Linked DNA regions of Nothobranchius furzeri. The protein of the gene in region 1 interacts with the protein of each later gene in a pairwise test. Links are inferred from orthologs where the notes say so. Each region holds a gene or a part of one and is shown in the gene's direction. Other genes may lie near its edges.

The links.
Region 2: the proteins of exoc5 (region 1) and rab4b interact in binary tests that used the Homo sapiens proteins (3 or more experiments, as listed by UniProt). The two-hybrid records come from large-scale screens. The link is inferred for Nothobranchius furzeri from reciprocal best matches to the Homo sapiens genes EXOC5 and RAB4B.

The regions. Positions count from the first base shown.
Region 1 is NC_091758.1:32,180,930-32,184,515, reverse strand, and holds the end of exoc5 (exocyst complex component 5), read left to right. Parts: intron 1-1,318; coding exon 1,319-1,427; intron 1,428-1,587; coding exon 1,588-1,708; intron 1,709-1,921; coding exon 1,922-2,008; intron 2,009-2,083; coding exon 2,084-2,192; intron 2,193-2,280; coding exon 2,281-2,496; intron 2,497-2,575; coding exon 2,576-2,764; 3' UTR 2,765-2,994; downstream 2,995-3,586. UniProt on the Homo sapiens protein: Component of the exocyst complex involved in the docking of exocytic vesicles with fusion sites on the plasma membrane.
Region 2 is NC_091753.1:41,301,638-41,305,160, reverse strand, and holds part of rab4b (ras-related protein Rab-4B), read left to right. Parts: intron 1-1,630; coding exon 1,631-1,711; intron 1,712-2,308; coding exon 2,309-2,423; intron 2,424-2,620; coding exon 2,621-2,683; intron 2,684-3,379; coding exon 3,380-3,523. UniProt on the Homo sapiens protein: The small GTPases Rab are key regulators of intracellular membrane trafficking, from the formation of transport vesicles to their fusion with membranes.

The DNA.
Region 1 (3,586 bases):
CGCTCTGCGGTCGACTTTTGAACCCCATAATCTAACTGCTGAAATGTCTCCTCAGCCTTCATTAGATTCCACAGGAGTGATTCATCACTAAATCAAACAAATCAGCTGTGTTCACGATCTAAACAAACAGGAAACGTGTTGGAAGCAGACTGCAGTGCCAGGCATGTCAGCTCCCCTTTACTAAGTTCAGCAGAGACTGGACCGGCACTCTGAAGTTGCAAGTGTGATATTCTGGCCACAGAGGGCGGTGGAGGTCTTAGTGGCATTTCATTAACACTGTAAAAGGTCATTTTAGCACATACTGGCTCGAGAGAGTTATGTAGAATAAGGAAAATGTTGCATAGTATGCCTTTAAAGATGGATTATGTGTTGTTGGAAAAATGCATTCAAGCAAGCTACAACAAAAAATCTAAGTACCAATCCCTTTCTTCAAACTCCCCCCTAGAGTTACAGAATCTGATGGTGTCAGAAAATGGTAAAACATCTGCTTGTGACACACACACACACACACACACACACACGCAGGTTTGCTGAGCTGCTAAGGTCAAAATGTTCAGATCCAACTCCGAAGCAGACCTCCTCCCGCGTGTCCCCTCTGCCAAACTAGAATGCTAGCTTTTGTGGCGTTTGGTGTTTTTTTTTTTGGTGAAAAACAATCCAGTTTTCAGCTTTCTTGGTTTATTCTAAAATTCAAAACCACTACGGTTCTTTGCCACCAGCACAAACAAAACTTCTAGAACACGAACTGAACTCTGTCCTTTCCGCCTGCTCAGGGTGAAGTGCACACATTAGGGCTAGGCAATAAATCGAACATTTATCGTTATCGAGGTGAAATCCTCGGGATATCGTGACATTGATTTTAGGCCACATCGCCCAGCCCTAGCACACATAAACTCACACACTCACTCGTTCCCACGCAGAGTTGAGACTTTTCTCTTCATTCCCAAAACAAAACCTCCATCACCTAAACGTTTCCCAACAGGAACAGAACCAGACTCTGAACAGGATGTGTAAAACAAATGAGACTTGCAAACGGAACAGGACATTTCGTCCATGACACCAAAGCAGCTCAGCTAGCTTCTCTTCCTGTTCGGCTGCTCCACCGAGTGCGAGCATGTCCTGCACACACAGTGTTCTGTGCAGATCAATGATGGATGGGTTATGATCCAATCATTTAGAAGGGGGATAAGGTCTTTTCAGGACTGTGTGCTTCAGAGGCGGTTAAAACTTTATTTTTTGAGATAATATTTGATTCATTGGTCGTTGGTGGAGAGCATCTCAAGGAAAAATGTTTATTTTTTATTTTTTTATTTAACAGCTTTCAGATCCTTCTGATTTGCCCAAAAACGCCTTCTCGATTTTCCTCCTGCTGGTGGAACATCTGTGTGTGGAGCACATCGACTACGCCCTGGAGATCGGCCTCGCAGGTACGAACGTCTAAGTGACAACAGAATGTGTCCGTCTGGTCTTTCCAGATCATTTCTCAAAATGAACATTTTTTTTAAGAGTCCACCTACTGTAAATGATAAAAATGATGCTTTCATCTACATTTTGATCTGACTGGTCTCACGTCTGTTTGATCTGCAGCGATTCCTTCATCTGATGCCAAGAATGCCAACCTGTACTTCCTGGACGTGGTTCAGCAGGCGAACTCCATCTTCCATTTGTTTGACAAGCAGTTTAATGACCAGCTGATGCCTTTAATAAGGTCGGATACAAGCCAGCATTCTAGTTTTTGTGTACTTTATTCTTTAGCAAATACCCAAGAAATGTTTTTGTTTTCCATGGAAACGCACATAAACACGACTATAGGACCCTTTTATGTGTTTCCATGAAAAACAGTGAAGTTTCTAAGTGATGCTTAACTTTTGAGCAGTGCTTTCATTAGGGGGTTAGCCTTTGAATTCACTCTCGTCTACAGCTCTTCCCCAAAGCTGGCGGAGTGTTTGCACAAGAAGAAAGAAGTGATCGAGCAGATGGAGGTGAAACTGGACACGGGAATCGACAGGTTGATGTGTTTATAGTGTAAAATCTGTTTCCATGAGTAAATGGAAACCTTCTGATCTGCGTTTCTGTCACACAGAACACTGAACTGCATGGTGGGGCAGATGAAGCACGTCCTGACCACTGAGCAGAAGAAAACGGACTTCAGGCCTGAGGATGAGAACAATGTCATGATCCAGTGCACTTCAGTGAGAGACTCGCCCCATAAATAAAATGAATCGTTTTAAGATAAACATTTGTTGATGATACAAACCATTCTCCTGGTTCCTTCGGCAGGCCTGCTCCAAGGTGTGTGCCTACGTCAGTCGGCAGGTGGAGCACGTGCGGAAGTCCATGGATGGGAAAAACGTGGACACGGTGCTGACGGAGCTGGGGGTGCGCTTTCACAGACTCATCCACGAGCATTTACAGCAGTACAGCTACAGCTCCATGGGGGGCATGTTGGCCATCTGCGACGTGGCCGAGTACCGACGATGCGCCAAGGACTTCAGGGTGAGAGAGGAACTTTGAACGCGGCTTGGCTCACTTCACCTGTAGTTTAATGCATCTGCTGTAACGTCTCCGTCCTCAGGTCCCTCTGGTGCTGCAGCTCTTCGACACACTCCACGCCCTCTGTAACCTGCTGGTGGTTGCTCCCGACAACCTGAAGCAAGTCTGCTCGGGGGAGCAGCTCACCAACCTGGACCGGAACCTTCTGCACGCCTTTGTCCAGCTCAGGGCGGACTACCGGTCAGCCAGACTGGGTCGACATTTCAGCTAATGACTCCCGGAACGCTCGCTGTTCTCCGTCCAAGGATAAATGAGCTTTGATGAGAAGATGCACCTTCAAGGTGATGCATCATCACACAGACTACAAGCAGTGGAAGACTGCTTGTAGGCTCCTAAAAATGTGGGAAATGTGCATTTTGTATTTTTATTTTCAATGTCCATCAAATTAGAATTCCCTTTGTTTTTAAACACCAATTGTTCATAAATTCATGTTATAATTAAAATAACTGTAATTATATCTCTGCTAACATTAAAAATATGTTTTGCTTGTGCCAAATATATAAGTCCTGCAGCTGCTCTTGTGCACAAGAATCCACTCTGGTGTTGTTTTAAAGGGAAACTGTCAACAACCAGGGTGCAGACACGAGCTCTGCAGTTGCACTGCATGATGGGAACACACAAAGGCCGAGCTTCATCTCCCTAAAGGTAGAAACGGCCATGATGCCGGTGTACCAGAAACTTCCAGTTCTGGTACTCAATGTACATCTGTGCAGGGAGAAGTTTATACATTATTCATTAAGGTAAAAAAAACTTCCATAAGTTATTACTAATTCAGTTTTTAGTGTCCGACATGACTCAAGCACAAGTGTGTCTAGAATACATTTCAGTAGAAACCAACATTTTGATCGTGTAAGCTTTGATCAAAGGGCATGAATTAAAAATGGCTCAGTTCAATCCAAACAGCCAATTAGGTAAGAAAGAATGGATTTTTCTGACATCTTGTTGTTGGTTTAGTGTAAAAAAAATAACCTAAAAGAGACACATGACCACCTTTTCATATTCTGACTGCCAACCACAAAGGCTGAGTCAGGAG
Region 2 (3,523 bases), on another chromosome or scaffold:
ATTGTTGTAATTCAGCTTTATTTCAGGGTTTTCTAGCATGAACCGCCTTTTTAAGGTCATGCCATAGCATCTCAATAGGACTCAGGTCAGGACTTTGACTAGGCCACTCCAAAGTCTTCATTTTGTTGTTCTTCAGCCATTCAGAGGTGAATTTGCTGGTGTGTTTTGAGTCATTGTCCTGCTGCAGCACCCAAGATGGCTTCAGCTTTAGTTGACAAACAGATGGCCGGACATTCTCCTTCAGGATGTTTTGGTAGAGAGTAGAATTCATGGTTCCATTTATCACAGCAAGCCTTCCAGTTCCTGAAGCAGCAACACAACCCCAGACCATCACACTACCACCACCATATTTTACTGTTGGTGTGATGTTCTTTGTCTTAAATGCTGTGTTACTTCTACGCCAGATGTAACGGGACATTTGCCTTCCTTAATATTGATGTGTAAAGAATGCAATAGCATGTGGAGAGGGCCAAGCTGTCTTATGCCTTCTCTATGGCTTTGACATATTGACAGCTGGATAGTTGTTTGCAGATCTCGTGTGGGGGGGTGGGGGGGGGGGGGGGATTTCTGGTATATCCTGGGAGGATTCTGAAAAGCTGAGGCAAGAAATCTGTTAACCTGGGAGTCTCAGTTCTTCTTCTGTGTGGTTGAGATGGTCATAGTCTCATGAAATTGACTTCTTGAGTTTGTGTTGCTGAAGAAAATCCTCTATAGAGGATAATGCACCAATCTGCTGGTGTGTGTGTGTGTGTGTGTGTGTGTGTGTGCGTGTGTGTGTGTGTGTGTGTGTGTGTGCGCGCGCTGATGGAGGTGCCTCCAAGGCTTAATGAGTTTAAATCTCGTGGAGGAGCTGAATAACAATCTGTGCAGCTAAACCATAACGAGATATTCTCTTTACTTGGTAAATCAGCATCTGTTTTTCCATTCAGCACTTCTCTGTGATTGTGTGCAAACCCAAGCTGCCCTTTGTCTTTATTTCCTCTCTGAAACAGACTTTCAGGAGGGAAGGTGTCCTTGCAAATGTAATTTGATCTCATGGTCTTATAAACATATCCTCTTTCTTGGTTTTCTTACTGATTCCACCTTAATTTTTTTTCCCATTAAACCTGACATGGCGGCTACATAAAACCCTTTTTCAAAGTCCTCAGTCACTTCTTTGAAAGAGTTTCTTACGCGTTTGTTCTGTTTTGCTTTTTTCTTACACTTCTTTCATAAACACATTAAAGCATCAGACAAAAATAACCAGAGCAAAAACAGAATGCAGTTAAATGATTATTTCATTTGTTAATCCAAACCAACGTGGCTCCTGTGCGAAAGTCACTGGTAAATCCTCTCATTAGACTCTGTCTGACAACAGAAAGGAGGCTAAATGATCTCAACACCACACCAGCTGTAAGGCATGGTGGAGGTGGTGTGATAGTCTGGGGCTCCTAATTCACACCAGACAAACATCGGGACTCATAACTGATGAAGGTTTTTATGATTCCAGAGCTCTGTGATTAGCTGGCTAATTTGAGTTTGGTGAAAGTAGTGGCTTTAACGGGATTAAGGGTTTATCTGAGGCTAAGGGCTGCACAACTACCACCTGTGTTTCTGTCGCGTTGACGTTCCATCTCTCATCTGCTCGCAGACTTCCTCTTCAAGTTCCTGGTGATCGGCAGTGCTGGGGCGGGGAAATCCTGTCTCCTTCACCAGTTCATCGAGAACAAGTGTAAGTCTCAACCCAACCCAGCTCATTTGTTCGCACATAAACCGACCAAACTGATGCTGTTGAAATGAAAACTTTAGGGAGGTACAAGAAGAGTGAATGACTGCTGAGTGGAGTAAATCTGTAACGATGTCTTGAACCGTGTGTGGGTCTAGATTTCTGACACTTAGAGCAGGTCATCATTAAATCGGTTCAGAGTTGTAATACTACTGTTCACTGACTCGACTCTTAACTTTCCATGTTTTTAAAGAAAATGCTGATTAAAATAATCCATCTGAGCAGTAATTTTATATTGTTGGGAGTACAAATACACTCTTGTGTAGTTTGGTTTAGTAAAAGCTCAGTTAAGTCCTCATTTTTCAGAACTGATCGTCACAGAGTCGGCGTTGGTTCCCAAGGCTGTAGACGTATATCTAATAAACCTGTCATTCAGGGCTCCGGGTGCATTTTATAGTGCATTATTTGATGTGTGAAACGTTAAAACTGTCAGAATGTTTAAGCTGGACCTTATGCTTCATTCTGTTACAGAGGGTGACACACAAATCAAACTTCCCCTCTGCAAAAGCATTTCAGTTTTCTGTGTTGTTTGTTTCCTCTCAGTTAAACAGGACTCCAACCACACCATCGGCGTGGAGTTTGGTTCCAGGGTGGTCAATGTTGCCGGGAAGACGGTCAAACTGCAGATCTGGGACACTGCGGGCCAGGAGCGATTTCGGTAACGGCTCATAATATTGCCTGTGAAGGTTTTGGCGACCTCTCACAGAAACATGATTTATTGAACCCAAATGGAGTCACGGTGTGATAGCTCTGAGAAATCCTGGTTTGTGATCACTTATATGAGCAGACAGGTTTGTTTTTGCCCTCCTGTGCTCTCCCGGCTTATTTTGCATCTTGTCCGTTTTCTTTTCGCAGCTCTGTAACTCGTAGCTACTACAGAGGAGCAGCAGGGGCGCTCCTTGTTTACGACATCACAAGGTAAAAAACCCTGGAATCATTTGCTGTTTATGACCTGATCCTGGCTTTCTTGTGACAAAAATAACGTTCGCCTTTGCATAAGTGTTCTCCAAAGTATGGCTCTTTCTCCTATTCAAACGACATATGAAATAATTTAGTCTTAGACAGAAATTGCTAATAATTTTAATTAGACACCCTCTCATTTTCACGACCATCCCTTTTACCATTTCTGTTCTGTTAGCCATTCTGACCTATAGGCTTCACAGCGTGTCCATAAGCAGTATGATTTAATGATGGGGGGGTCTGGACTGGGCAAACTCCAGCTTGTTATTGAGGAGTTGTGTTTTGAGTAATGCAGAGAGTAGCTGCTGTAGATCAGTGCAGAGGCGTCTGCAGGAGAGGCAGAGGTGGGCAGCAGGAGGCGACGCTTCAAGTGTTTACAGGGGAAAAAAAGAGTGGACAAAGAGTTACGTCAGTCTTTACTTAGTGAAAACAGCTGTTAAACATCCCTGTGAGGACCCCACACCCTTTTCTTCACCTCACTGACCTCATGTTACCATGGCAACTGGGGCCCTACTTCCACCAAAACCAGTGACTTCAGCCCAGAAATGTTTCCTTGAAAGTTCTGTGACTGTCAGGCTCCTATATAACAGTGTTTATGGTTATTAGCGTTATGTGTCGCCAACATTAAACACTTCTGTCTTTTCCTCCCAACAGTCGAGAGACGTATAACACTCTGACTAACTGGCTCACAGACGCGAGGACTCTAGCGAGCCCCAACATCGTAATTATTCTGTGTGGGAACAAGAAGGACCTGGATGCAGACAGAGAGGTGACCTTCCTGGAAGCATCCCGTTTTGC